Linked DNA regions of Astyanax mexicanus. The protein of the gene in region 2 purifies or fractionates together with the protein of the main gene of each other region. This does not show direct contact. Links are inferred from orthologs where the notes say so. Each region holds a gene or a part of one and is shown on either strand. Other genes may lie near its edges.

The links.
Region 1: the proteins of sf3a1 (region 2) and cdc5l purify together in Homo sapiens (affinity purification with mass spectrometry; 3 studies listed by BioGRID and IntAct, with this or other methods). This does not show direct contact. The link is inferred for Astyanax mexicanus from reciprocal best matches to the Homo sapiens genes SF3A1 and CDC5L.
Region 3: the proteins of sf3a1 (region 2) and snrpd1 fractionate together in Homo sapiens (co-fractionation; 4 studies listed by BioGRID and IntAct, with this or other methods). This does not show direct contact. The link is inferred for Astyanax mexicanus from reciprocal best matches to the Homo sapiens genes SF3A1 and SNRPD1.
Region 4: the proteins of sf3a1 (region 2) and snw1 purify together in Homo sapiens (affinity purification with mass spectrometry; 3 studies listed by BioGRID and IntAct, with this or other methods). This does not show direct contact. The link is inferred for Astyanax mexicanus from reciprocal best matches to the Homo sapiens genes SF3A1 and SNW1.

Annotation. Positions count from the first base shown.
Region 1 is NC_064421.1:16,938,539-16,946,428, forward strand, and holds the start of cdc5l (cell division cycle 5-like protein), read left to right. Parts: upstream 1-4,885; 5' UTR 4,886-5,054; coding exon 5,055-5,099; intron 5,100-6,738; coding exon 6,739-6,842; intron 6,843-7,890.
Region 2 is NC_064419.1:31,893,672-31,900,780, reverse strand, and holds the start of sf3a1 (splicing factor 3A subunit 1), read right to left. Parts: upstream 3,013-7,109; 5' UTR 2,789-3,012; coding exon 2,747-2,788; intron 1,628-2,746; coding exon 1,518-1,627; intron 1,265-1,517; coding exon 1,054-1,264; intron 921-1,053; coding exon 663-920; intron 493-662; coding exon 418-492; intron 199-417; coding exon 48-198; intron 1-47. Other genes in the region: ccdc157 (coiled-coil domain-containing protein 157), read left to right, coding at 3,163-3,410, 3,869-4,028, 4,435-4,875, 5,174-5,396, 5,511-5,588, 6,254-6,426, 7,028-7,109. UniProt on the Homo sapiens protein: Component of the 17S U2 SnRNP complex of the spliceosome, a large ribonucleoprotein complex that removes introns from transcribed pre-mRNAs.
Region 3 is NC_064410.1:2,559,636-2,566,515, forward strand, and holds the start of snrpd1 (small nuclear ribonucleoprotein Sm D1), read left to right. Parts: upstream 1-3,866; 5' UTR 3,867-4,012; coding exon 4,013-4,026; intron 4,027-5,122; coding exon 5,123-5,199; intron 5,200-6,499; coding exon 6,500-6,691; intron 6,692-6,880. Other genes in the region: clptm1l (cleft lip and palate transmembrane protein 1-like protein), read right to left, coding at 91-280, 1,302-1,396, 2,338-2,502. UniProt on the Homo sapiens protein: Plays a role in pre-mRNA splicing as a core component of the spliceosomal U1, U2, U4 and U5 small nuclear ribonucleoproteins (snRNPs), the building blocks of the spliceosome.
Region 4 is NC_064408.1:54,941,392-54,949,395, forward strand, and holds the start of snw1 (SNW domain-containing protein 1), read right to left. Parts: upstream 3,008-8,004; 5' UTR 2,868-3,007; coding exon 2,854-2,867; intron 2,212-2,853; coding exon 2,058-2,211; intron 1,940-2,057; coding exon 1,778-1,939; intron 1,699-1,777; coding exon 1,603-1,698; intron 1,331-1,602; coding exon 1,224-1,330; intron 1,132-1,223; coding exon 1,027-1,131; intron 862-1,026; coding exon 792-861; intron 702-791; coding exon 636-701; intron 539-635; coding exon 422-538; intron 1-421. UniProt on the Homo sapiens protein: Involved in pre-mRNA splicing as component of the spliceosome. As a component of the minor spliceosome, involved in the splicing of U12-type introns in pre-mRNAs.

The DNA.
Region 1 (7,890 bases), on a different chromosome or scaffold from region 2:
AGACCTGTTGTTTGCCAAATAGTGGACCCACAGCCACATAACTGGTTATTAATGATTTTTAAGGCATTTACAACCTAATTAATAACCATTAATAAACTAATTGTAAACCATTTAATAACCCTTTATAAAGGTAGTCTTATTTTAAAGTGGTACCGAAAGGCCGTACTATATTTGTTTGTGCACCACTTTTTCCCCCACATATGATAGTACATGATAATATGCAAATTACTGTCTCGACCTACTGTATCAATTAAAATATTAATTTAGTTAAAACTTATGTGTAACTTTCAAATTGTACACCAAAGCAAAAATGTTCAGTCCAGGCTCCCCGAGGGAACACTTCACTTAGAGGCCCTGGGTAGTCAGTTCCACCATTCCCCCCAGCTGTGACACCCCTGGTTCCTGAATGGCCTGCGGATGATGCTTCTCATTGCACGATACAATGAGCCTTTTCTCATCAGCGAACATCTCAGCCTGCTGCGGCTATTAAAATCCAAATAGGAAAATAATCATTTACAGAGACTCATTCTGTCTTTTCCAGTCTGAATAGCTGTCTGATGATTATTGCCATCTCTTGTCTTACGTTTACAGCGCTGTAGAATAATTGTGAAATTGCATCTTGTTTCTTCCTAAGTGCGTTTATTGAAAACCAATTACCATGTTAGCTATGGTCATGGGCTCGCAGATGTACTAACACACACACGGTGTCTCCATCCTGTTGTAATAGTAGAATGGTAATCTGATCTGCACATCTGAAATTAAATATTCCACAGTGCACATCATTACCTGGAGGGTTATGCTAATGGAAGATGCTGCCTCTGAAAAATGAAAGGCAATTTCCTTTCTTCGCAATTCCGCTGAAATTGCTGAATTCAGCCAGACGCAGCAGCACCTCTGAACCTGGAGATGAAGTGCTTCAAATTGTATTCCAGCCAATGGGCTCCTGTTGTCCCCTCGCCCAGCTGCCAGCTGTGATGGTGACCCGGACACTGCCTAAAGCTGAAGCTCCTCTGCAGGTCTGTCCTCCGCCAATTCGCCCTGGCATCTGTGTTCTGGCCCTGGCAGGTGGGCTTTCACAATGCAGATACACCCTCCCTTAGCCATTCTCACTGGTTCACTATAGAACTATCTAGAGATTTAGTAAGATCCTCTGATGCACATTTGAGTTTACTCGTCGGTGAAAAGTTTGTTTAAAGCTGTTTATAAGAGAGAAGATATATGTATTGATGAGTGTGTTAGGGCGTATGTGTGTGGGTGTGTGGGTGTGTGTGTGTACTTAACGATTTTCAAAGCTCTCCTTGAGGAACTCCAGTGTTTACAGTTACCGTCCAGTACCTAGTTTATTTAATCAATCCTTCATTAAAGTAAATCAGAAGAGTTGCTGGTGGGACTGAAACAATCAATACAGTCACTAAAGTTCACACAGAAGTCAGAAACCAAACCTGAGTTTTGGGTTCTTCTAAAGCACACATCAATCTTGTAGACCCTGTTTACACCAGGTCAAATTACTTCCCAGCTAACAGAGAACTTTCTAAGAACCTTTAACAACATTTTAAAATGGTTCAAGGAAGGATAACCTGTAATGTTAAAGAAATAATGTTTCAGGAATGTTCTAAAAACATGTGACATTATAGTGGTTTGCATCATAATGTTATTAGAATGTTATTAGAACCCTTGTCAAGTGACTTCCCAGCTAACAGTAAACTTTCTAAGAACATTTTAAACAACATTTTAAAAAGTTTTCAGGAAGGTTAGCCTGTAATGTTACAGAAACAAAGTTCCAAGAAAGTTCTGAAAACATGTGACATGATAACGGTTTGGGGTTGTATCTGCACTGTATCTTGATCAGATCATTTTTAACCACATGCATTTCCACTTGATAGTCAAATGAATTTTGATTGAATCACATCATATTCTAATTGTTGTTGCCTTTTTGTGGTATGGCCTTATCCAGATATAATCTTGATTACCTTAGTGTCTAAGAACTGAGAATAGTCCACCGACTGCCCTGTAGGCAGGGTGTTTAAAAACTCCAGCAGCACTGCTGTGTATGATTCATTCATAGTATTAAAACACACACTACTCAAACACACCTGCTCTGTGGTTGTCTCTCCTTTGGGATCCTAACCATTGAAAAACAGGGTGAAAAGAGGATCATAAAGTATGTAATGAAACAAATACAAAACTAAAATCTGTAAATAAAGACCTATAAAGTGTAGAAACAAACAGGTAATCATATTTGAATGTTGTGCTTGACAGGTGTATGAAGTATTTTATAAGAAACACTGCTGATATAAACTGTTTTCATACGTTTTTAACTTGGAAACAGTACTCTCCCATGTTTTGTGCAATGTGAAGAACACTAAACAAGATCCACTTTGAGTGTCTTAGTTCAACTAGCAGCTGCTGGATGGTGAACACAGAGGAATACAGAGGCAGTGCACTGCTGGATAAGCTGCCTGAAGCCATCATGTTTTCATACAGCTCTTGGCATTTTCTCAAGCAGCTTTTCCCACAGAAGCAAAGAGGTTTTTCATATGCTGACTCGCTAATAACGTTTAAAACACATTCATATATAGGGGAGTTATTTGTATTTTCATCAGAAATGTTGAATTTAATCGTGTGAACATCTGTGTTCACATTGATAAAGGTTTCAATGTGCATTTTTTGTGCATCTATGAAAGGTGTGTTGAAACTTGTGTTTAGGAGACTGTAAATCAGTTACAGTGGAATATGTTAAAGATGAACAGTGAGAAAATAATAAACAGATCAAAACTGCTGATAATCCCCCATAAGTGGCCATAAGATAAGATAAGATAAGATAAGATAAGATAATCCTTTATTAATCCCACAATGGGGAAATTTACCATGTTACAGCAGTGCAGAGTAAAGGACAGAGAAACAGGTCAGGAAAAGGTAAATACAAATAATGATAAATCTATATATACAAAAAAACTATTGCAGGAAAATATATAAAGATAGTTAAAAAAATTATATATAGTAAAAGAAAAAATATATATACATCTAGTGCATAGAGATATGATTATGGTAGGGTGGACCAGTATTATTGCACAAGAGTAACAGTGAATAAATATCAAATAAATAATAGATAAAAACAAAAGTGAGAAAAAAATATTGCACATTAAATAAATTGCACAAATGGTGATCACAGTACTCGTAGTGAGATGGATATTGCACACGGTAAGCATTACAGCTACACTGAGTAGTATGTAGGTTGTATGAAGTCCTGGGAGCGTGGTGTGTTGTATAGTCTGATGGCGTGTGGAAGGAAGGACCTGCAGTATCTCTCCTTCACACAGCGTGGGTGCAGCAGCCGGGTACTGAAGGAGCTGCTCAGTGCTGTCAGAGAGTGGTGCATGGGATGGGACAGGTTCTTCAGCATGTTGTTAAGCTTAGTCCTCATCCTCCTGTCTCCCACCACCTCCACTGGGTCCAGAGGACACCCCAGGACAGAGCTGGACTTCCTGATGATTCTGTCCAGTCTCTTCTTGTCAGCGGTGGAGATGCTGCTGCCCCAGCAGACCACTCCATAAAAGATGGCTGATGCCACCACGGCATCAAAGAAGGCCTCTGACCTTTCCTGTAGAGAGCAGCCGTGTTGTCAGTCCAGCTTGTTGTTAAGGTGGACACCTAGGTACTTGTAGGACCTCACTATCTCAATATCCGAGCCCTGGATGTTCACAGGCACCGGAGGAGAGTGTTTGGTCCTGCAGAAGTCCACCACCAGCTCTTTGGTTTTTAAATGCCTGATTACAAAAGAAAGCTTTTGCACTTGCATTGCATTCAACAAACCAGTTACTCTAATCAGACTTGCAGTAAGTGTGTTAAAGCAGGGACAGGGTGTCTCCAGGACAGGGACTGATAAACACTGAGTTAGCTCAGCAGCATCAGCAGCTCAAATAGCCAGTCAGAACTGTGGGAGACTCCATTCACTAGGTGGCAGTACAGAGCTCCAGCACGCCATTCACAAACTTACAAACTTATAGGAACTAGACAGAAACAGGGTTGCCATGTTGAGAAAAAAACTTATTGTAAACGTACATTTGTTGTTGAAATCATGCATATTTAATCCTATTTTAATATGTTTAATATTAATGTAATTAGATTTTTGCTATATTCGGGGCTTTAAATTTTGCTGTATTTTTAAATTGTACCAAAAATGTGCATTATGCCAGGAAAAGTGTACATATAGTGCTGTATGATATAACATTAAATGTTGTTTTGCCAAGTTAAAACTTCAGCTACTAAATGTACCCCCTAATACTTAGACAATCACTTTCAGGCTTATCTGAAGTTACACTGAAATACATATTATTTATATTTGTGTAACAATTTCTCTTTTATTTGTGTGTAATTAAATATACCTATTATATATATTATGTAAAATAGTTTATTATATATAGTTTATTATTTATATATATATAAATAGTATATTATATATATATATATATGAGTGAGTTAGCGAGTAAGTTTTGCTCTCATAAAAAAAACCTTCACATTTAATTTGAATTTGAATTGAGGGATATGGAAAAGCCTCTGCACTTAGCCTTATTTAAAGTTATATTATTTATGTAACAATATGTCATTTAATTGAGTGCAAATATATTATTTTTTATGTATTAATAATTTAAAGTAATTAAAAGTGTCACGTTTAACTACACTTTAAATTCCCTCTACTTGTTTAAAAAATATTAGTATAATATTATGAATATAATATGTATTGTATTCTATATATTGTTTAGTTAGTGAGTTAGTGTGAGGTAAGTCTGTCTTTTTTAAATCAAAAACTTCACATTGAATACCCCCTTGGATGGATTATAGGGATTTTAACGTCAATAGCACGAATCTGGCAACCCAGTGAACAGAAGCCATTTGCTGTGGGCCAGCGCTGCGTTAGCGGGGCCGTGTTTTAGCTGCTGCTCTGCTTTCTGAGACGCACCGCAGTTACCCCGGGTCTCCTGGAGCTCCTGTATCGCTGTTAATACAGCGCTGTTTATAGTTCAGGGTGCGGGTGTGAAGAATAAGCTGCCAAGATGCCGCGAATTATGATTAAAGGAGGCGTTTGGAGGAACACTGAGGTGAGCGCTGGGTTAGCAGTGTGGTGCTGACAGGCTAAGCTAACGGAGCTCGGCTATGCTAGGCTAGCAGCCCTGCTTTAGCTGTGAAGTGTGAAGTTAGCGTGTTTAAGTTACTACAGCGTTAGCTGTGTCGTACATATAACTATATTTTATTGGTTTAAACAGTATTAGTCAGTGTTTCTGACACACAAATACACGGGCAACATGTATTCGTTAGCTAGCTAGCTAGTTTACAGATACAGGTAGCATGCTAGCTAGCTAGGTTAGTTAGCTGGACTTGTTAAGTAGCTAACGCTAGCTGTGTGGCAGCAGTGTTTGTGTGGGTGCAGGTTGAGCACCTCTGGACTGAGTTAAAACCTAACGTTATATTAACTGTTGATCTATCTGTTAACATTACATTTTTGCCCTCAGTCCTGAAACTGCACAGCTTGTTTTTTCTGCTCTAACTCGCCTTGTTTAAAGCCAAAATTAGTCCTCGTGTGCAGATAAACACCAAACTACAATACACTGCACTGATCTGGCGTTAAGTAACGTTAGACTAATCAGCAAACTAGTTAGTGTGATCGAGGCCTTTGTAGGTCTTAGTAGCAACACATTCTGACCACCAACTGATTTTTTGTGTATTTATGATAAGCCAGTGCTACTGAAGTGTTTAAATACCACCGGGTTCATCATCTCAGTGTCTTAGGGCTGCATCGATTAGTCGACATAATCGGCAATGTCGATTATTTAAAATCGTCGACTACACATTTCATTGTCGACTAACTTAATTGTTAATTTGCAACAGTACCGCATTACACAAAGTGCAGAGGACATAAGTGCAATGGAAGATGAGTAAATGGTTCACTCAAATAGTTTACACTCAACTTAGTCTCTAAAAGTGACCAAAATCAAATCTTATGTTCAACTTTTTCTATCAATTTTAGAGGTGGAGGACATGGCAGAAATAATCGTTGACTAATCGACTAGTCTGATGATTAAATCATTAGTTGCAGCCCTAGTCTGAGATTTTGAGAAAAGTCCACATACAGTGCTTAAAGACTTCAGCAGCACTGCTGTGACTGATCTGCTCATACCAACACAACACACTAATACCTGACCATTGAAGAGGAAACTGTTTAAAAGGAGGATAATAATAATAATAATGTGTGCAGAGAAACAGAAAGACTATAGTCTCTAAATACAAAACTCCAAAGTGATAAATGAGTGTGGAATCAAACAGGTGATGCTTGCAAAACGTAAATGAAATTTAAACAGTACTCTCCCATTTTTTTACAACTTGAGGGAAAGTAAATAATATCCAATTTTTGAGTGCCTTAGTCTATCTAGCAACTGCTGAATAGTGAACACAGAGGAAATCATAGGGAGCTTCCTGAAGCCATCATGTTCTGATTTATTTGCGAAGCACTGTTGTAAGTCACTCTGGATAAGGGCGTCTGCTAAATGCCTTTAATGTAAATGTAGTTAGTAAGTTATTTAGGTAAGCATCAAGTTTGTCAAACTAGCTGACAAATCTAAACACAATACAGCCACTCCTTAAAAAGATTTATTAGTACTAATTCCAGAAAATGTATCCAGTCATTGTAAAATATTTGTGAACTTAACAATCTGTTCTTTTTCCCCTGTTATCTTTCTGTAGGATGAGATCCTTAAAGCAGCTGTAATGAAATATGGCAAAAATCAATGGTCCCGGATTGCCTCTTTGCTGCATAGAAAGTCAGCTAAACAGTGTAAAGCTAGATGGTAAATCTGTTCTTGTTCTCTCTCAGTGCTGAGTGTTCTGTTTGTTGTTCTGCTGAAGGCTTTTTTTAAATATACTGATTAGTACTAACATTTTAAATTACTTGTGGGTGCTCTTAATGATGCCAAAACCAGTTCTGAACTATTGATGTCTGAGTTCAACACTTCTGAATGTGTCCAGTGACGGTCTGGTCTGGTAGGGCTGGGTATCACCACAGATTTCCAGAATCAAATCGCTTCAATTTAGTTTATTTGATTTAATCCAGTTCAGTATCAATTTGTTTAGGGATATTACCGTTACAATAACAGGTTTTGTTTATATATAAAAAGAGATTTTCAGTGAGCTAGTGTAGCAAATGTAAAAGGAACACTCAACCTTAAAAATATTAGTTAGTACTTGAGCTTCTTAGTACTTGATGTGCAGTAAAAAGACTGTTTGATCACATAAGATCAAAGAATAAGAGTGTTAAAGATTTACACAAAAACACATGGGGGAAATAAAAAGATTTTAAAAGACTGAATTCGAGTTTATGTGAATCAATATCGAGTCATTTAACTGAAGATTGCTTTGACTCGAAAAATATATATTTTTTTTAACCCTCCCCTAATATCTGACATCATAATGTTAAGAGCTTCTGTAAGATGTGAATTGTTTGTCTAACATGTCACACAGATGCTCAGTCTGATTGAGATGTGGGGTAATTAGAGTTCAAGTCAACACCTTGAACATTGAGATGTTCCTTGTACTGTTCTTGGACTGGATTTGCTGGATTTAGCTACTGTTTCCCAGCAGATTACCGCTTGCCTTCTCCAGTGTGCATCATATTGCCATCTTTTTCTCATGTGACTGATGTAAATGTGACTGATGTATATGTGCCTGTCTATCAGGCACAGGATGCAAAAGAAAATGTGATTTATTAGACCAGGCCATTCTTCCATTACTCCAAAGTCAGGTTGCCTTTGACAGTCAACACCATGTTTGTGTGTTCAGACATGTTCCTGCCATGGCCAGCTATAGCTTGTCAACCATTTGTTCTGCCGTAACTCTTGC
Region 2 (7,109 bases):
ACTGCTTCAGTTAATCTAGTTTATTCACTTAATCTGGACACATTTACCTTGCTCATTGGGCTGGAAGTCAACTGTCTCCACAACAACAAAGTCATGCCAGTCAATCTGAGCATAAGCCACACGCTCTCTCTCTCTCTCCTCTTCCTCTTTCTTCCTTTCTCGCTCCTGGAACTTGGCCCATTCCACCCTGTACCGCACCTGAAACAACAGAAGCAAATATTATAAATCAGTAAGGCCTTCATGGTGTACTCTATGTGCAAGAACAACAATTTAAACAGAAATAAACAGTGTGTCATTAAAATATCATTATTCTTCAAAAATAACTCCTGAATACCATTTTTTTCTTGCCTCTACACAATATGTATTGTGACATCTTGTTTATCGGAGATTAGATTTTATGGAATGAATAAGTCTTACCTGATCCAGAACCTCCCGTGGATTCTCAGCCTCCCTTTTGAGTTTCTGCAGAAGTCCTTTTGGAGGAATCAAAACCTTTATTTAAAAAAAAAAAACACACACAAACCTCAGAGTGAGCACAAAACACTTCACAATTAAACAATACACAAACAAAATTCATTCATTTAGAACATTTTTAAAAGTTACAACAAAACTTACAACCATTTGAAAACTTAGAGTTATTACAGATGGTCTCATCAATCTACCTTTGTGTACTGTTCCACCAGTTTGGTGAAATAGTTGAAGAGGCTGTGCTGAGGCCTCAAAAAGTCAAACTGGTAGTTCCTCTGTTCTTTCTGCATCAGCTGTGTGAGAAACTGACGGCCATTGCGGGCGACAAACTGAGCTGTCAGCTTCACAACATCTAGGTCAAAGGCTGAGATGGAGGGAGGATCAGCGATGAACTCAAACTCTGGAGGAGGCTCCTTCGGCACAATTGTCTCATGGATCACCTGGGCTTGGACCTGAAGAAATATTGACAAATAGGGAAAATTACAACACTGGAACAAACAAAATTTTACATGTTATAAAGATTTTATAGACAAATAAATACAGGAAAAGTATTGGATACTCTACATTCAGATGCTGGAAACTTACCTTCTGTGGAAGCTGCTGTTGGGATTGCTGCAGGGACTGTTGCTGCATAACCTTAGGCACCGCCGCCGATGGCTCCTGGCCTTTTCCTTCTTTGAACTCATTAACTTTGTGGCGGTAGTAAGCATGGTAAGGATCATTAGGGTTGAGAAAATTAAACTTTGGGTTGTTGATCTCATTCTGCCGAATCCTTGCTTCAAACTCTGGGCCGTTCCTGTGGATGACATGGGTTCAGTAAGGTACAAGCAATGTTGTGAAGAATTTACCTGCATACATATATTACACAAAAAGTGTTTGTTAAGTTAACCTTTCATTATACTTTGTAGTCGCACCTCTGTACAGTGTGGAAAAGGCTCATATCTGTTTAATAACTTGTCCGATTCAGTGGCTTTAAATTTTAAGCATTAAGTAAAGTGAAAACCATGGCACAATACATCAGATAATATGAAACAGACAGTGCACCAGACCTGGCTACGAAGCTCGCAGTCTTGTCAACGATATTTCGGACTTCAGGTGGTGGGTAAATGATTCCCACAATGGGCTTAGTTGCCGGCGTCTCATCTTTCTGTTCATCGCCCTGCAAAACAGAAGAAAAAAAATTATTATTTATATAGAGAATGAGACAGAGAGAGAGAGAGAGAGAGAGAGAGAGAGAGAGAGAGAAAGGTGTTGGAATGGTTTATGTTTATATAAATATCAGAAAAGGACAATTGGAATTGCACATCGATCCACAGCTTGGGAAAAAAATTGTCCTCGTCACCCAGACAAGCCCACAATCGGTCCTGGGTGTGGAATCGTTTATACAGGACGGGTTATGTAACATAGAACACCCTAAAAAAAAGTCATGGTGCACGTATACTGCAGTATAGCCCGTTTTAAAACTTTAAAACACCGAAATGTTAAATGTTTTATCTGTTCAACTGGAAAACCAGGGGAATTGTCATTCAGTTTAATAATTTAAATTCTTGGCTTAACACTATAAATCCAATACTAATCAAAGCATTAACGTTTTATATTCTACATACTCTTGACAGTAGAAACATTTTCAATTCATTTCAATTCAATTCAATTCAAATGTAGAATCCTGCAATAACGTGGTGTACCAATCTTGTTAGTTACTTAACTAAGTTAACGCTACATAAGATGATTAGCTAACGTGTAAAACACAACTCTTTCATTGATTTTGTGACTACTCTAATAGAGAGCTCGAAATACCCATTAAATAGCTAACGTATCCACTGTTTTCGCCGGATTCCGCTTTTTACCTGGTCCCGACTAAACTAGTTCGTTAGCTAGCTAGTTTAGCTAACATAGCTAAAATGCTTAGCTAGAAAAGCTAAACCAACGTCAGCTGTTAGTACATAAACATATATTATGCCTTTAATAGTATTTCTCTGCGCTTGTTTTTAGATTTAAAAGCAAACTGCAGCCAAACACAGAAATAAACAATAATTATTACTTTATTTATTAGCAAATTCAAACTTAACACAATAAAAAATGAGACAGTTGTCTAACGAAGTAAAAGCTAAGTTAGTCTTAAAGTCTATAGCGTTAATTAACCTAGATAGCTAAACAGTTAGACTTAACGTTAGCTGGCAAAGCACTACTTTTCACACACATTAATACCTAACGAAAGAACTATGAAGGAATTAATGGGAAAATCACTATACAAACAGTAAAGTCGCTGTTGGCTCACCTTGTTGTTGGGCTCGGGCTGGCTGATCTGAACAGGCGGCATGGCTGCCTCTTCAAACTGGGCTGGGATTAGAGAAAATCACACTCACACACAACCTTCCGTCCTCAATACCACCCTGTTTACCACACAGATCTCTTTTGTTCAGCTGAAACACTCATTTATTGAGTTTAAAAACAAAAAAACCTTCGATAATTAACGTGCGCACTCCGCCATCAAACCGGGGTAGGCGGCCTGCAGAAAAACACGATCACATCCGGGACACGGACTGCGGGTCACTATGGGAAGTGTAGTTTCTTAGAGTGGCGTTAGGACTACAGGTAGCCACGGTGACGGAGGAAACAGAGGAAGCACACAGTATTGTTGAAAAATAAAGAAGTTTAAAGTGTTTCTGCGCTTTCAGAAAGCTGAATGGGAGGATGACGCATCTGTTAGGACGCCAGGACTGCGTGGAGAGTCTCCGCAGGGACGTTATCGACCTGCAGGCGGCGGTTCTGGACGTGTTTTCTCGAACCGGGCCGGTCCGCGTTCCATCGTGGAAATTCCCCGATAAGGTATCGTGTAATGTGGACCTGGTGCAGCTCCTGCAGGAATATGACTATACTGAGGGAGAGCCTGAGTTCAACCAGCACTCACACATCGTCTTGCTGGAGCTGGTGATTGACAGGTAGGTGGGCGTCTGACAGTAATGCATTTTTAAAATGCAAATCAAATAATGCAATTTATATTAATTAGTGATTTCAATAAAAGAAGATAATCAATAAAAGAAAAACAATAGAAATTTGTGATGAATCACACCTTTTCGTTTTTTACACTATTTATTTGCTAGTGGGTATTTCAATTAAAATAGAGTACACTTAGATTTGTGTTATTGTGCCAATCATTTAAAATACACCTCTGGAAAAAAAAGAGAGACCACTTAAAATTTCCCAATGATGATTTTACCAAATTGAAAATCTCTGGAATATAATCATAAGAAAGATGGATGATCACAAGCAATCAACCCAAGCTGAACACACTAACACATAATCAGAATGTTATAATATGCCATGTTATTGAGCTTTTTAATAAGTGTTAAAAAGTTTTAATAAGTCTAAGAAGTGTGTGTTTACTTGTCTGTTACAGACTGATGCTACTGCTGCAGAGTTTTAACATCTACACAGAGATGATGATGGGAGATCAGAGAGGCCATTCTGGCAAAACTGGGCAAGGGGTGTCCATCGGGCCAGTGGTGAAACGCTATTGGACCAACCTCGTCCGGCTTAGCAGCCAGCAGCAACAAGGGGTAACATATGAAATGTGTATATACTGTTAACATAGTGCATCAGGTCCAACTAACATGCTGACTTCATGTGGTAATACGCAGTTTAATATATTTTTTTTATAATAATTTAAAATAATGTCATTATTAATTACATTAAAATTACTTAATAATAACTAACTCATAAAAAGTTATCAATGAGCTTTTTATGGTTAAAAGGGAATTAAAGGGAATTCAAAGTATAATTATGTAACAACAATGACAGCACTGCAAGTAAGTAACAAATAATCAGATATTGTTAAGTTAAGTTTGCATTTATTAAAGCTTATTACTACAAAGTATTATTGTTTCCAATATTGGGGCAAATCTGATTTTATGATTTAAATGTTTTATGTCAAATATGAGCAGAGTTTCTTTTTCTTTATTTTAGAGAACAACTAGTAAAAACAGCCAGCGTTCTCCATCTGCTCCTCAGCACAGCATCTCACAAACTGACATCACTTCATCCACTGCTAGAAGTGCCCTGAGCACCCCAGCCTCCAAACTACAGAACCAACGCCCAGCCTCCTCCAGCCCCAGCAGGACAGCTCCCCCTGCCCCTGCCTCTGAGTCCCGCAGTGTGAGCGTTCAGACAGTGGAGTCTGCACTGGTGCCGTGTACAGCCTGTGCCCGCGTTCAGTCCAGTCTGAAGGAGAGTGCAGAGGCGTGCTTGTCTCTGTGCCGGGCTCTGGGTGTGAACTCCTTCCTGCAGCACCTGCTGATGGCTGTGGAGGACACGGAGCAGCTGGGGCGTCTCACTGCAAGTGACTTGGCTCAGTGGGCATGTGAGCAGCGTAAAGATATGGGGCGCATTGAACAACACATTACTGAGGTGAGGTGATCAGGTGTTGGTCACAGTAATCACAGTTCAACAGATAAAATGTGTTACTATTACTATTCTTGCTTTTCTGTTATTTTCCATTTATATAACACACCTCTGAAATGTCTTATGATTTTCTAGTTGGAGCAAATAACATGTTTCATTAGCCTTGTAGCTTCAGTGTTAAAACTAAATTAGATAATTTTAGACTTAACTGTTTGTTTATATTCATAATTTTCATTTATCTTAATCGAAACTTAATCGAAAGTTAATACAAATACTAATGTGACCAGTTTGTTTTGAATTGGAGGTGAAAGAAACAGTGGATTCACTTAGAAACAAACTGAAAAAAGCAGAAGAGCAGAGAGGGAAGCTGAGGGCTCAGCTGGAGCAAGAGAAGGAGAGAGCAGAGAGAGAAAGAGAGGAGAGGATGAGCAGGGAAGAGGAGTGGGAGCGCCAGCTGCAGGAGCTGAAGACCAGAGGAGAGGTGATGCAGAGGAAGCTACAGGAGGAGCAAGAGGAGATAAAGAGAGGTCAGAGCACTAAATTTTAAATAAATTACAGTCATTTTTCAATAAAATATCTATCTAGTTATCTATCTATTTTACAACCAAAACCTGCAGGTAATTTTCTTTCTTTTTTTTTAGGAGCAAAAGCTTTAGAAATAAGAGTATCAGAGCTGAGCAGAGAGCTGGAGCTGCAAAGAGAAACACAGCAGTGTCTCCGTAAGCAAACAATGAGTACAACTTACTGTCCACTTTATCAGAAACCCTTTGAAGAGGCTGTAGCACACCTGTGAGCAGTGTGTACAGGCCTTATCAGTTTCTAAATGCAGAGCCACTTGTAACTAGATATTTTTGGGTGGTGGACATTCTCTTAATCTAGCAGTAACACCCCAGCAACACACATTGTATGTATACGTTCTCTACATGTCCAAAAGTATCCAGACACAACAGAACCTCCATAGAAAAGCAGTGGTCAACAGAACCTGGCACTTCATAATAGCTTTAAGCACATAACCCTAAGGTCACGATGCCCAACACTGAGGGAGCTAAAGGAGTATAAATCTCCCCAGAATTTTTCTGGAGTGATAGAGCTCAATCCAATACTTTTAAGAGGCAGTATTAATCATATAACTTCTGTACTTGACTTCACTGACATTATCACTTTTGCAATTGAGTAATGCAATCACATCCTCCTCACAACAATGTTAAAGATCTAATGTAATAGTTTTCCATAAGTGTAGACATTGGTATAACAGATGTCTGGATATTTTTTCGAGCACCAGTTTAATGTGTGAGTATGGTGAAGGACGCTAAAAGGACTTTTAAATGTGTTGTGCGTGTTGTGTGTATGTGGCCATGTGTTAACAACCCGTTTCTCTGTGCAGAGTGTGAGAGGGATTCTCTGGTGGAGGAGGTGCACCGTCTGCATCTGCAGGAAGAGGAGAGGAAGAGAGAGTATCAGGAGAGCAGGAGAGAGTTAGAGACGGAGCTCAGTAACATTCAAACACTGCTGGACAAGGAGAGCGCCAAATACCGCAGTGCACAACGTCAGCATGAGGTGTGTAATTATCAGTAACACAGTTCTTGCCAAAAGAGCTGAACTGTAAGAACTCAAATGCAGTTGTATACACGGTATACATAATATATGTTCAAATGTTTGTGGACACCTGTCAACATTCATGTACTTTAATTTGCATCTATTGCTGACACAAATGTGCACATGCATGCACACAGTTGGTCTAGTCTCTGTCGACAAGTACTGCCAATAGAATAGGACTCTCCGGAGCAGATAAGCATGAAGCTTTTGACACTGTGCCTAGTGCCAGGCATGAGCTAGAAGGTTATAAAGCTTCCAGCTTTGTGCTGTGGAGTACAGAAACCGAGATCTCTGCAACAATGGTGCTCCATCCAGTACTTTTGGGATGAGTTAGGGAAATGAGGTCCATCCTGAACTCATTAACACTCTTGATGCTGAATGCTGTCAAATACTCACAGTAATGCTCCACAAACTAGCGTAAAGCCTTCCCTGGACAGTATGTAATACCTTCATTTTCAGAAGCAATAATGAATGAGTGTATGTTCCAATACTTTGTCCACATACACATATATAAAATGATAATGATAAAATGTGTGCGTATATGTTTGTGTGTGTGATATAGGCAATGCAGGTAAAGCAGCATGCTCTGCTGGAGCGTGTGGATGCGTTAGTGCAGCAGTGTGAGGATCTGCAGACTCGTTTGG
Region 3 (6,880 bases), on a different chromosome or scaffold from region 2:
ATCCCACATTTATTTATTTATTTGTTTCTGCTCTCTTTTTGAGTGATAGAGAAAGCACGTGTATTTAGTTATAAAGAAATAAACTCTGACCTGAGCCTCGTCCTCGCCTGTGATCAGGCTGACCTCAGGGGGTTTGGGTAGCATGTAGGCGGTGAGTTGGGTCACCATGTGCACTTGGCGGGGATCCTGCCACGGCGACATTCCTGCCTGGTGCACGAACACCATGGCGTACAGAGTTCCATTCTTACGTGTCTTCTTGGGCAAAGACACATTTACTAACCTTTAGTGGAAAAAAGATAGAAAGAAGAGAATGCCTTAAATTAATCTAACATTTAATATTATTAATAAAATTCACAACTTCATATCCATTCCAAATTTTTTCCAGCATGTATTTAGCAAATACATAGTCAAATCATTTAATTATCTGAAATTGGTCTACAGCAATAAGGCAATAAAAAGAAAATACAAACCACTAAAATAGCCAAGAGTGCCAATGCTACAGAGTAAATTGTCACTGTCCAATAAAAACAAGCATCTCCAAAACAGCATTTTATCAGGAGAGAGATATAACCTTCTTGACTTTCAATTAAAGTCAATGTAAAAAAAAAAATGTAAAAAAAATAAAATTTCAGGTCAATTTCAGGTCATTCCAGAGAACTTCTATTGGTCCATTCATTAAGAATTTTTTACATACTGTAAAAGCGTCAGTTTGCGTGTTTTTAAATTACAGTATGTAATAAATCGAAAAAAATATTTTTTTAGGTACATGTTTTTGACAGCGATGATATACTATAAATAAATCTGCAGTGTAGGTTTGGCAGGGTAGTACACAAAACTGTATTTATTAAATATTTATTAAGGATATTTGTGTATAATCAGCTTATATCACACTTTAATATATGCTACATTCTTCATACTAAAAAACTATTTAGTAGTAGGAACTGGAATAAAGGTAGGACATACCCACAGCCTTTTTGAAATACCATTATTTTTCACACTATGAGGCCACTCTGCTGAAGTACAGCTGAAGTTTCTCCAGAAGTTTCACCAGCACCAAGGCTGGAGCAGTATTAGCATTAGCCGCTAACCTCAAAAGCTCCTTCAATCTATAAATATGAAATATGATCCTCAGAAGTGAGTTGTTTAAGTCTTTAAACTGGAACATCTTGCTCTATATTAGGGATTAGGGGTGTTAAAACCTGTCCACATTGGCTTTGTGTGGCCAATGTATACAACAGAGTAAGTATATCCAATGTATTTGGTGAATCCCCACTACTAACTAAATGACTACAGAACTTTACCTCTCAAATCTGGTGTTCACATCAAAATCCTCCTCTCTGTGGATCAGACTGTGGCCACCTTCAGTGTTGGGTCGTAATGCTGTGTAGATGCTTAGCTGTGGTGAAGATAACAATGAAAAATATATTTTTTTAAAATGACAAGACAGACTTTATACACAGTTGGTTTGAAGAGATAGCCTCAGCAACATCTCAGGGCCTATGGAATTAATGTTTAAGCAATAATACAATAATAGGAGTGGGAGTGCTATAACTTGTAATTACAGCAGTGCTAATATAACATGTTATAGCACTAACCTCAAGCGTATTGTTGAGATTATACTACAGTTTCATTACCACTGTTTATTAAAATATTTCGAGTTAAAGAGGAAGAGAAAATACGATATGTTTGGTTATAAACACTCTGCAAGTAAAAATAGTTCCATTGCTGCTCTGTTTGTAGCTGCGCAGTTTAGCTTGTAAGCGCTGCATCGTTGCTAGGTTAGCTGTATGTGGTGGAGTAATTCATGGAGAGCTTCGGTTAGTTACAGTGCATTACCGGCTGATAACGGCACTCATAGAACACCTACCTCTCAGCCAATCACATTGCAGGGTTGGAACTAACTTCTACCTCTGTAGCACCTTCACAGTTTTGAACTGTGATACAGGCGTGGATGATGTTTCCGTGTACTTTGGTAGGTGGACACTTACAATATGCAGATCAGTCAATCAATAATAGCGCCCCCCTGCTGACACCAATCATCTGCATCTTACCGCTATCAGAGGCACAATGCCGATGCTGCAGCTCAGCCAATCAGCTCCCGCTCCTGCTCTCCCACCCCTAAACCCATACATCACCCAGTGCCCCTCCCAAACTAACTAACCCCTCCCATTTTTTTGTTTAGCATTTGTTCAAATTCGAGCTGAGGGTGGGGTTTAGTGCCACTTTCAAGAACCACTGATCTGAAACCCTAAAAAACTGAATTAGTGAACACAGTTATCTAAAAATTAACACACACACACACACACACACACACACACACACACACACACTGCTCACCTGCAGACGAGGCTTTCCCGCCAGGTAAGGGCTGATGCACTTGTCACTCTTGGGGTTGTCGCAGGGTTTGGTGTAAACTATGCCATACATCACCCAGCAGGTGTGCAGCACGTAGACGATGAAGACCCCCACTATGAGGGTGGTGAAGGAGGTCTTCTGGAACATGCTGCTTTAGCAGTTCCTCAACTAAAAGCTACACACACACACACACACACACTCACACCGCTAACATGCTAACCCGCTCTCAGCACAGCCCGCTCTCATATCTCAGCTCCTCTCCTCCTCCAGGTGAGGCAGGTGAGGCAGGTGAGGCTGTAGATCCTCAGTAATCCAGGTTTCTGAGCTCAGACTCAGTTTTAGGTCAGATTATAGTGTTTCATCATAAGCGAGCTCTGACTCTTCCTTCCGCCACTGAGCTCCTGGGTTGTGGGTTGCCAGATTGGTTGCTTTCAAGCTTAATTAAAAAAAGCGAGTATGGGCAGATTGCAGGTTGCAACAAGGTAAGCAAACCATTCAATTGACTAGTGCTAGAGTTATATTTTTCATATAAAAGCTTTATAGATCCAAAGGACCCAAAAGACCTAGGATAGAATTTCGCCAAACATTGAACGGGACAACAAAATACTTTATTATCACAATCAACATTGTTGTTTAGAAACAATGGAACAGTAACAAAACAAAGTTTGCCTTAACATTTAAAAATTAAAAATATATATATTTTTGAGGTAGAAAAGGAGAAACCACAATACAAAAATAAAATATAATTTTCACCTCAATAGACATCTTTTCTAGTTAATTCTTTCTTTGTTTCTTTTTTTCAAATAGAATAAAACAATACAAAAATAAGGAATTTTCTTCGCTACTGTACTTTTTTCGTCGCTAGACAGTCAGTGCATGCAGAAAAGAAAAAAAAGATTGGGTATCGATCTTTTTACATGAGCATTGCTCAATACCAATACCAGCGTTGGTATCGATAGTATCAATATTTGGATCAATCCGCCCACCTCTAACTAGGGCCCCAAGCTGGCCTGGGGCCCGCAGAAATGACAGGCTAAGAAAATGTGTGAGCTGTTAACGAAAATACGATCTTAAAATGTTTTAAATAGTTCAATTGCTGCTCTGTTTGTAGCTGTGCTGTTTAGTTTGTAAGCGCTGCATCTTTGGTTGCCTACCTGTATGTAAAAGTAATACATTGAGAGCTTCGGTTACAGTGCATTACTGGCTGATAACAGCACTCATAGAACGCCTCTCAGCCAATCACATTGCAGGGTCGGAACTAACTGTGGTATAATTTACACAAATTCTGCATGTGAAACTGTATCACTTCATCAGCCTTAAGCAATTATACCTCATATTACAATTGTACTATTGTCTTGTGTCTTACGTATGTCTATACTATTAAATTTACAATTAAAAATGCGTATTTAGTTATTAACAGTACATAGTTTAATGCATGTGTTAAAACGTACTAAAAAAAATAAATGGGGTTCAACGAGGGGATTTATGTGTAGATCTGGCAACTGTAACCTGTGACGTAGACCATGAATGGAGTTCTTCCGTGCTGCGCCGGATGTAGTCATCTGTGTTTCAGTAGCGTTTCGATAACGTTCGTTTATTAGCGCTACAATTTTTTCTCTCTCCGGCGGAGGATTTCTTTACCGAATCCACCGCTAACATGAAACTCGTCAGGTAGGCGGATTGTAGACGGTTTATTTTACGGTGTTCAGTTGTTAGATGTTGTAAATTATCCCCTGTTTGATGGATGGGGCTGGATTGTTTGTGGAAGCTAACAGGCTAAATGAGCTGCAGCGGGGCTGAGAGGCGGGAACCGGGAGTTAGTCAATGAATGAATGGGTGGATAAAAAGAGAGTTTATCTCATAAACGGAGCTATAAATGCCGTTTTAAACTAAACTCGCTCTTTGCTGGGGTGTAATTTGTCTAAATTAAGCTAGATAAAGTGAACTAAACTGTTTATACTGTGCCCCAAACTGCTAGCTAGCTAGTTTGCTAACCTAGCTTAGCTAACCTACTCAAACAGGCTGACTTTGGCTGTTTGTTAAATGTAAGTAATATAAATTTTAATACAGGGTTTAGTATCTTAAAATTATTGTATTTGGCTTCTAATCTACGTTACGTGGTTGTTTATAACCTGTGTATCCAGTTTAAGGAGAAGCTGTAGCTGCCCTTTATGTGAATTATCCGTTCCACCTTAAATTGTGCAGTAGTTACATGCTAGTCTTGCAGTTGTTAAGGTGGAATTGATAATTCACATAAAGGGCAACTACACTTACACTGCTGCAGGGCTTACACATCTACTGCACAAAATTTTAAGGTAGAACCGACAATTCCAACATGAAGGCAAGTTTAGCTTTGTAGTGAAGGTGTAGCTGCTTCTTATGTTGTAATTGTCTGTTCCACCTTAAGTCGTGCATGCAGGTCAGGAGCTGTTCGTGTGTTTGGCTATTTGTTAAATGTTAATGTTAAATACAGTTATTAGTAACTTAAAATGAGTGTATTTGGCTTTTAATCTGCGATACGTGGTTGTTTATAGCCTGTGTATTGTTGTGAAGTAGTTACGTGCAAGTCCTGCAGCAGTTAAGGTGGAACGGACGATTCACATAAAGGGCATGTAACGTAGACCTTAACTGCTGCAGGGCTTCTATGTGACTATTGCACAATTTAAGGTGGTACTGATAATTCTAACATAAAGGCAACTGTGTGTGTGTTACAGAGCCACTATATGATTTATGTCTCATTTTAAGTGTGTTATGTTCTTTTCTGCAGGTTTTTGATGAAACTGAGCCATGAAACTGTTACCATTGAGTTGAAGAATGGCACCCAAGTCCATGGCACAATCACAGGTGAGGATGTGGTGTTTTTATATTTTGATGCATTAGTCTTTTAGTAGGCTGAAGTAGAGCTTCACAATACATTTCTTAATTTTGGTTGATGCAATATAATGCTTATCAATACGAATAAAAAGAATAAAACCTTAAAACTGTGCCTTTAAATTTCGTTTCAGTGTATTATTTACACTTTTATTTGTGCCACAATGATGCAGATGATAAAAATGCTTTGTTCTGTGTACTTATGTCAGGAGTGTGCCGTCTTCTCTGCATATAAGCTGGCTTCTACACATCCAGCAGCACACCTGATTCCACTTGTTGAATCAGCTGGTCAGTCTTCAGGCAGTTGATGGCTTAAATTAAAACCTTCAGCCACACTGATCCTTTTTGTGTGAAGACCTTTTAATAAAGAGTCAGATTTTTAAATACCAAAATGTGCAATATTATTATTTTTTAATCAGAGCCTGATTGATCATATGTGCTGTATGGGTATGTTAAAGGCATACTGGCCGATCGAAGCACAGTTGTCATGGTTGCAGATCAAACAAATGCACAAAGATGGCAGCTCAGTTTGTTCAGAGCTGGGCACAGAAGCTTATGACTGACAACACTTTGATTTATTATAAGAATACGTTGATGGAAATATATAGTGGGCAATGAGCACTATATATATATATATATATATTTAATATTGTGTAGGTGTGTTCTCTTTTAAGAATGAGAAGGAAAACAATTAAAGTATGAAAAAAGTATAGAGTAGAACGTGGAAAGGAGCTGTGGAATTTCTGCATCAGTTCAGAGCACAGAAGGCAAAAATTCTGTTAGATTTGGTGTAAAGTTTCTACTATGTTAAATCTCTTTTTTTTTTTTTTATCTGATAATCATACTTTTTCATACTTTATGTAAAAGATTGAATCCTGTTCAGGGACCAAAAAAATGTGTTTGCAAACATTTAATCATGTTTTTTTTTTTTCTATTTTGTGCTCTGGGTTTTATACATTGTATACATTAAATCAAAACTGTGTGTATAATTCAGGTCAAAAATCCACCCTTTTTAGTAAGCTTTTAGTAGTTTTTTTTTTTTTTTGTGAAGCCCTATTTAACCCTTTGTATTGTGGCTATTTAGTGGGGCATCATCATGGCTCTTGTAAAGTCTAAATCAGTTAGCAAAACACAGAACAATGAGCTATATACTGTTTAATGTCCGTATGTAATGGTAAATTTTAAGGCTTTAAAACAGGACCCTATTGAACTGGAGAAGTATCTGTCTGCCTGATAGACAAACTGACTTGTCATTTTCCCTCTTTTTATTCAGGAGTGGATGTCAGTATGAACACCCACCTAAAAGCTGTGAAGATGACCCTGAAAAACAGAGAGCCCACCCAGCTGGAGTCGCTGAGCATCCGCGGAAACAACATCCGCTACTTCATCCTTCCAGATAGTCTTCCTCTTGATACGCTGCTGGTGGACATAGAGCCCAAAGTCAAGTCAAAGAAGAGGGAAGCTGGTAAGTGCAGCACTGTGTGTAAGGGGGAGTTTAGTTATGTACAGTGTAAGAGTGTACTGCTTCTGAAATGGTCAAGAAATATCTTTGTATGAAGATGTTTCCTCTCCCTGCTGAATCATTACCTTATTTAATATTTTTTAAAATATTTTTATAAATAACCATTTTCAATACAAATATTATTTCTGTTAC
Region 4 (8,004 bases), on a different chromosome or scaffold from region 2:
GTATTATCTCAGTAACTAAGCTTACTGTAAATGAACAAAAGCTCTTTACTTTTTTTTTTTTTATAAAGTTTTGTATCCTTAGCTTAACTTAATTAGCTACAACCCACCACCACCCAGCTGCGAGACCTGCTGAAGTAGAAGTTCCTTATAGTGTCTTTTAAAATGTACCTTATAATCTGGTGTGCCTTGTGTAAGAAAATAAACGCTAATTAATGTGCCTCATAATACAGTGCGCCTTAAAGTGAGCAAAAAACGGTACTGATAAAAAAGAAAAGAAAAAAGAAACGGCATCATTCCTCCTATTAAACTATTACAGTATAGAAAGTATGTGAGTCATAATCCCCAAAATCAACAACAATTGTTCATCACTTAGTCCTTATTGTCCACCTGTATTTTTTTTTGACAAATATAGATAGATTACCTTTCTATCTGCAATGTAGAGAGCTTCAGCTAACTTTGCAAAGTTCTCATTAATATGAACTGTCTGAAGACCTCTTCCATCAGCAGCAAGACGTTTATCCAGTGGGATTGTGTAACCCTGAAAAACAATAATGAACATTTATTTTGCCATTCAGAAAGACAACAGAGTTAAAGGTAGATAATTGTAAAGGCAGACAACAAAAATCTGCTGAAACCTTTGCGTTCTTCCAGTTGGAAATGCATGGAGGAATCTTCCACTCCTGTTGTTCTTTCACCGTCATCTGAGACAATAAGAAAGTTAATTAATAAAAATTTAAAAATGTATCCCATGTAATGAGCAAATATGATGCTGATTAAATTATGGTACTCACCTTTCTACTGGGAGAGTGCATAACTGGAGCAGGAGGAGAGGGAGGTCCACGAGGAATTTTCTTATTAATTCTATTCAAACAGACATATGCAAGACACCTTACATACTATTCCTGATCTTTATTCAGTTAGCAAGTAGTTAGAAATTACTTACTGGTACTATACACTAGCCCATAACTTTTTACATTTAAAATGTACACAGTAACATAGTTCACCACTGTGGGTCCTGTGACGTACTTAAAACGTGGGGGTTCCATTGGATCTTTTTGCATCTCCACCATACGGATGACCCTTTGCTTGGCCCCCGAGTTGAATGCTACTCCCTGCTGAGAAGGTGTGTACCTGTTGCAAAGAAATAATAAGTTACAGAATATCTAGGTTGAACCACACAATTGACACCACAGTAAAACATACTTGTGAGGTTTGAATATTACCGTATGTACTGTGCTGGTGCCTGTTTATCTGCTGCACGTACAGGCATTGCTGCAGCAATTTTCTGGGAAACCTGCTTGTCCAAAGCAGCTCTGGTCTTCTCTGTAAGCTGAAATAAAAGAAATACATTTGAATATATGTTACATTTTCATTAAAGAAATAAATTTCAAAACCTTAAAATCTTACTGAAAAATAAGGTTTAACAACATTACAGCAAAAGTACTAACAAGGAAATTACAGTCATCCCCCAATTAAAATTCAAGAACATTATTTTTAATTAAAACCAAAAACCAAACCAAAATTCATTATAATCAATTATTACTGCATTATTATCCACTGACAACCTGTAAATGCTTACAAACAACCACTAACATATCTCACCTCTTTAATGGCCTCTTCATCTGGTCTCTGTAACTCTGGGGCATCATCATTGAGCACTTCTTTAGGAAGCAAATCTGTGTATTTACTGAATATAACCTGTTGAAATTACACAAGGTGTGAGCATACATTTTATAATATGATAAACAATTCTAAACTGTTCTAACATAAGATGTACCTTATCCTTTCCTTGGCTTTGTCGAGCAATTGCATCATACTTTATTTTGCCCTCAGCATCCACCTGTACAGCAAGGGCATTGGATGTCTTCTTTTTTCTGCCCATCTCCAGTGGATACTGAGCCACGTGGATCTCAGGGAATGCACCACCATCTCCAAAATCCTTTAAAATAAATGGTAATTTTAATATGTTTTTATAGTACAAAATGAAAAGTACTACATCACAAACTATTTGAACTCATTTAATTTAATATGTTACAAGCAGATAAACACAGACACACCTCAATACTGCGGGGAACCCATCCTTTTCGAGAACCATAGGGAGGTGGTTCTCTTCGAGTGAGCATCAGAGATGTGGACTGGGACCTCTGAGCTCTGGTCCTCTCTTCTGACTCAAGCTGGTCCTGGGACAGCTGAGTGGGCGCGGGTAAAAAACTGTAAAACAAAGCATATCTACATTAAAAATACAATACCAATCTATCTATTAACAGTCCAATAATGTTCAACTGAGTACACTTATGGTAAAACATGACTGTGTGCTGGTATAACTGGCATAAACTGACAAAACACTCAATGTAAGTGTAATGTAATATATATTTTACACTTACATTGAGTGTTTTGTCAGTTTATCCCGAGAGAGACAGACAGACAGACAGACAGACAGACAGAGAGACAGACAGATCGCTGAACACCGTTTTGGCTGGACGGATATCTACAGTAAGACTAGCTTTAGCTAGCCTAGCGTGCAGTAACTGTTATGTTTCTGTACACAGTTCTAATCTGATATCTACATTTTAACTATAGCTAATAAACAAACGACAGCCTTGATTACAGCTTAATCTACCCGTGGGTTCATGACCGGGGAAGAAAGTGCGTTAGCGTTAGCTTGCTAAGCTAGTTAGCCCTGTAGCTAACTGGCTAAAGCTAGCGGATAAAATAACAACTAACTTAGGCCTTTCAGCCAAAAACGGATTGCAGTAGAGAACCAGAACACCCCCACAGACACAGTTCTGTGAGTAACCCGCCGACAGTGCTAACAACAGGGTAACAAAGCTAACCGGCTCCAGAGTGACTCACCTGGCCAGAGACATGTTTTCTCTCTTTGTGAAAAGCTTCAGCTCAAGACTGGAGACTCTCAGCGCAGACCTTTCTCCCCCGAGCTCCAGCTCCCTGCTAAAGTCTCGCGTTATTAAAACACGTCAAAATAAAAGTCCACACCAACACCACGCAATCTCTCCAGAGGCGAGTCTCTCACCCAGGGGGCGCTATAACATCAGCATCTGCTATCTCGGTAAAGTTAGTTTCATTTTTCGGCGCTAATAAATTTTAAACGGAGGGTGAGATCCATCTGATCCAGATGATACTTACATAATCAGGGCAGTAGGACCACTGAGACAGACGCACATCATTCATTTTACTGTTTCGGGAAAATGTGCGCAACGCCTTTTAGCGTTAATACCGAAAACTGAGATAATATGCATGTAGTTCTAGACCACCTCTGCATCTGTAAACACTCATTCATTTACCTCCAAATCACTTCAGTGCCTAAACATGCCAATGTTCTCATATAAGAATAAATGGCTTTAAGAAAAAAAACACACCAATAGCTTCATATCCTTTAGGATTTATACACATCAAAATAACGGGAATGTTCACTTTAAATCATGGGGAAAACTGCACACCCATTAACATTATGCAAAATGCTTACAACTCCCTCATATATTATATTTTATATGTTCACGAATTCAATAGCATTTCAGAAACTGTGTATGACAGCTGGGTGGAAGCAAACACTTTGCTTGTGGTTGTCCATCGAATCCGAGGATGACGTCCATCTCTGTCTTCTAGCGGTGAGTTTTCTGAACAGTCCAACATGGATCCACAGATTCTATTGCATAGTGTTTGTTTGGCTGCCAACCATTGGTGTGTCTCTCCAGAGCACTCTTTGTTGTCTTCTTTGTTGTCTTCTGGCTGTCTATTCCTCCTCCAGTGTTTGGGTTCCAACTAGGCACAGCTGCCACCAGGTGTTGCGATCAGCAGCCATATCTTCCAGATCTCCAGGTTTGATTTTACACCTTTTAAGAGCCATTTTCATTTGGTATTTAAAGCGTTCTTCTGGCTTCCTGCAAGACAAATTATATTTTGGATACAGTGCCAATTGCACTGTATATAACATTTTATATATTTTAGAATTTTAGAGAGAGTGCGCATTTCTAGCGCAGAAAAACGGGCCAAAGAGTCTAAAAGCGGAGAGAGTGCGCATTTCTAGCGCAGAAAAACGGGGCAAAGAGTCTAAAAGTGGAGAGAGTGCGCATTTCTAGCGCAGAAAAACGAGGCCAATGAGTCTAAAAGTTGCCGTAATTAAGGAGTTTAACATTAGGAGACATCATGAAATTAAACATCAATTTGAAAAATCTTAGTTTACACAACACTGTCAAAGATAAAGATAGTAAGCCAAGTAAAATGGTGTGTAAATGAAATAATCAGGAAAAAAGTATTATTTAAAGTGGTATATTTCATTATTTGTTTTATTACAGAGTGTGGCCCTTGACTTCAAATATATTTCTCCTTCTGGCCCCCAGCAAAAAGTTTGGACACCCCTGGTGTAGGGTACTCCAATCAAAAGTGTTGCAGTACTGAATACTACGTACTGGGCAGTGTGCAGTATGCAGTACATACTAGTGCAGTATGCAGTATGCAGTATAGTAGTATGCCATTCCGAATACAGCCCAAGACTCAGTCAGAGGAACCCATCCTACTCGGGTTGACCTGCTCAGTACAAACAAATAACAGAACAAAACAACAGTACAGAGAATTAATGTGAACTTTAGCTAAAATAAAAGGTACTAATTTATGAATATAAAAATGTGATAAGCACAAATTATAGAGCTATGGCCAATACAGAAACAGATACTGAGTGTGTTAATGTTAATCAGTGCAGGGCTGCAGAGCCGGAGTAGAACACAGCGGGCAGTGGAGAGCCAGGATGGGAACAACAGGAACAGGGCATCTCCATACATTTAAAAGAAATAGAAAACAGAAAGGAAAGAAAGAGAAAAAATCAGGAGTTAGAAGGGTTGTGTAATAATTCTGATGAGTAGAAGGACATGGCTGATTCTGGAAAACTGGAACCACAAACGGACACATCCAGGCAGACCGGCCGGGCATCTCAGCACATGTGAGAGAGATAGAGAGAGAGAACAGAGAGGGGAGGGAAGAAAAAGGGGTTAGAATGGTTTTTAAAACTCAGCAGCTCAGGACATGGGGAGAGAAAGAGAAAGCAGATGATTAGGACAGGGTTTATATTTGCTGGATAAGCTGTAAGAGGAAGAAAATTGTAATGAGACATTACTCAAAAGCTTGAGCAAATAGAAATGTTTTGAGTCTAGATTTAAAGATTGAGAGTGTGTCTGAGTCCCGTATATTAATAGGGAGGCTATTCCAAAGTTGGGGAGCTTTATAAAAAAAAGCTCTTCCTCCTGGATAGTTTTTTCTAATGCGCGGGACTAATAACAGGCCAGCGCCTTGGGAGCGGAGTGAACGCGGCGGATTGTAAGGAGTAAGAAGTTCCTGCAAATAATGCGGGGCCAGACCATTGAGGGATTTATACGTCAGGAGGAGTATTTTATAATCTATACGAAATTTAACAGGTAGCCAGTGTAGGGATGAAAGAATAGGTAATATGATCAACCTTTCTGGTTCTAGTAAGCACTCTCGCGGCTGCATTCTGAACTAGCTGGAGTTTATGAAGTAATTTATGTGGACTTCCAGCCAACAGTGCGTGTTTCAGTAGTCCAGCCTCGAGGTTATGAATGCATGCTTCAGCTTCTCAGCATCTTCCAGAGAGAGTATACTGCCTACTGATGTTTTTACCCAGCGGTAACATGTAAAGAGTAATGGACACAGTATTGATCCCTGAGGGACACCATATTTTACTCTAGACTGATAAGAGCATTCTTTATTTAAATAAACACACTGGAATCGATCTCTCAGATAAGATCTGAACCAGGTAAGGGCAGATCCTTTAATTCCTATAAGATTTTCTAACCTATCAAGCAGAATAGCGTGATCTATGGTGTCAAAAGCATCACTAAGATCTAGCAGTACAAGTATAGCAGTACTGCCCCTATCAAGAGCTGAAAGTAAATCATTAGTTACTCTAAGTAAAGCTGTTTCACAATTTTTTCTAGGATTTTGGCTACAAAAGGAAGATAGAATTTGGTCTATAATTAGCAAGCTCACTGGGGTCCAGATTTGGTTTTTTGATAATGGGCTTAATGACCGCCAATTTTAGAGAATTGGGTACGTAGCCCATGCTAAGAGATGAATTTACTATTTCTAGTAATGCCCACCTTTGGCAGTGCCTGTTTAAGTATCTGTGAGGGTACTGGATCTAATATGCACGCTTTTGATGAGTTAATTACACTAAGTAAATATTTTTCTGTAACCAGGCTGAAATACTCTAGGTGTGCCTCAGAGCTGGAGCAGCATTCATTAATATCTATAGGTACATTTTGGGAGTAATACTGAATTTTTTGTCTAATGTTATTAATTTTATCATCAAAGAACTTCATGAAATCATTACTATTAATGTTGGCTGGGGTAACGGAGCTAGTTTGTTTTTGACTGCCGGTAAGTTTAGCCACAGTAGTGAAAAGAAATCTAGGGTTGTCTCTGTTTTTCTCAATAAGCGCTGAGATATACTGGGATTTTGTTTTAATTAGGGCTTTTTTGTAGTCTGTGAGACTATGCTGCCATGCGAGCTGGAAAAATCCCTAATTTGTTTATTTTTGTTGGCTCTACATGATCCAGGTTAGAGCGGAGCACAGTTTGTAAGTTTTCTGTTATGTGCTCGAGATCATGTTCATGGGACGGAAGGGAGATAGTTAAGTCAGGGGGTTTATTTACAAAATCACTAGCAATTGAGGTTGTTATTTTACGCTTGCTGATATAGCGGGGTGGGAGGAGGATATTTTGATTAAAAACTATTTCAAACATAATTAAATAATGATCGGATATCGAGTCATGTTGAGAAAGAGTAACTGTATTCTCAGCCTCGATACCCAGTGTCAAAACTAAGTCTAATGAATGACTACATCGGTGAGTGGGGCCAATTACATTTTGTTTGAAACCTAGAGCATCTAAAACTGATTTAAATGCAATTTTAGTGGATCCTGATCCTTTTCAAAGTGGATATTAAAGTCTCCAACAATTACGACCTTATCAGAAAGAAGAGTTACTGCTGCTAGAAAGTCATCAAATTCACGGATAAAATTTGAAGAGGACGATACAGTGTTATTAGCAGGAACAAATGCTGTGTTTTGGAAGCAGGAGATGGGCCTGATACTTTAAGACTAAGAACTTCAAACGACTTAGCATCCAATTCTGAGTTTTGAGTTATACCTAACATTGAGTTATAAATTGTGGCAACACCACCGCCACGACCAGAGCTGCGTGGGTAACTAAAATAGCTAAAACCTGGGGGGGTAAACATAGACATAGTGCACACAGACATAGTGCAGTAAGGTGATTATCAGTAATAATATCATTAACAATTACTGATTTTGGTGCTAGCGATCTTATATTTAATAGCCCTAGTTTAATACGGACGCTGCTGGTACTCTGAGAGACGGATGCTGTTGTTTTAATTTTAATAAGATTATTAAAACAGATTTTCTGACTTTTTCGATTTCGAGCGACACATGGGACACAGTCTCAATCCTACACAGTAAAAATGCACTTGTATCAGAAAAAGGCACATAATTGTAACTCACGGCCTTATGAACAGGAAAGTGGCAAGATAAATCATCAGAAGAATGTATATTACTAAACTGCCCATTACTTAGACCACTAACCTGGCCGGTATGACTGGTTAGAGCCAGTCAGTCCCGGCATAGCACCGCCTCAATGTTTCCAGAGAGGACGGCGGATCCCAGGCGGCTGGGGTGAGGCCCCATATCCTTCATATTTATGATTTAGTGCTAAATCTGTTGCATATTCAATTTTATAAGTTTTAAAATGTAATAGCATTTATACTGCATTACGATGAACAATAAAAACAACTGTCTATGATACAGCTTGGTGGCAGCAAACATGCACACTCTTTATTTGGATACCTGGATAACTGTAAATTCAGACAGAAAAGTAGACATGGATTTATGAATAAAGGTTGAACAGTCATGTTTTTACTGTTTGTTTCTAAATTGTACTGTTTATCCACATCATCAA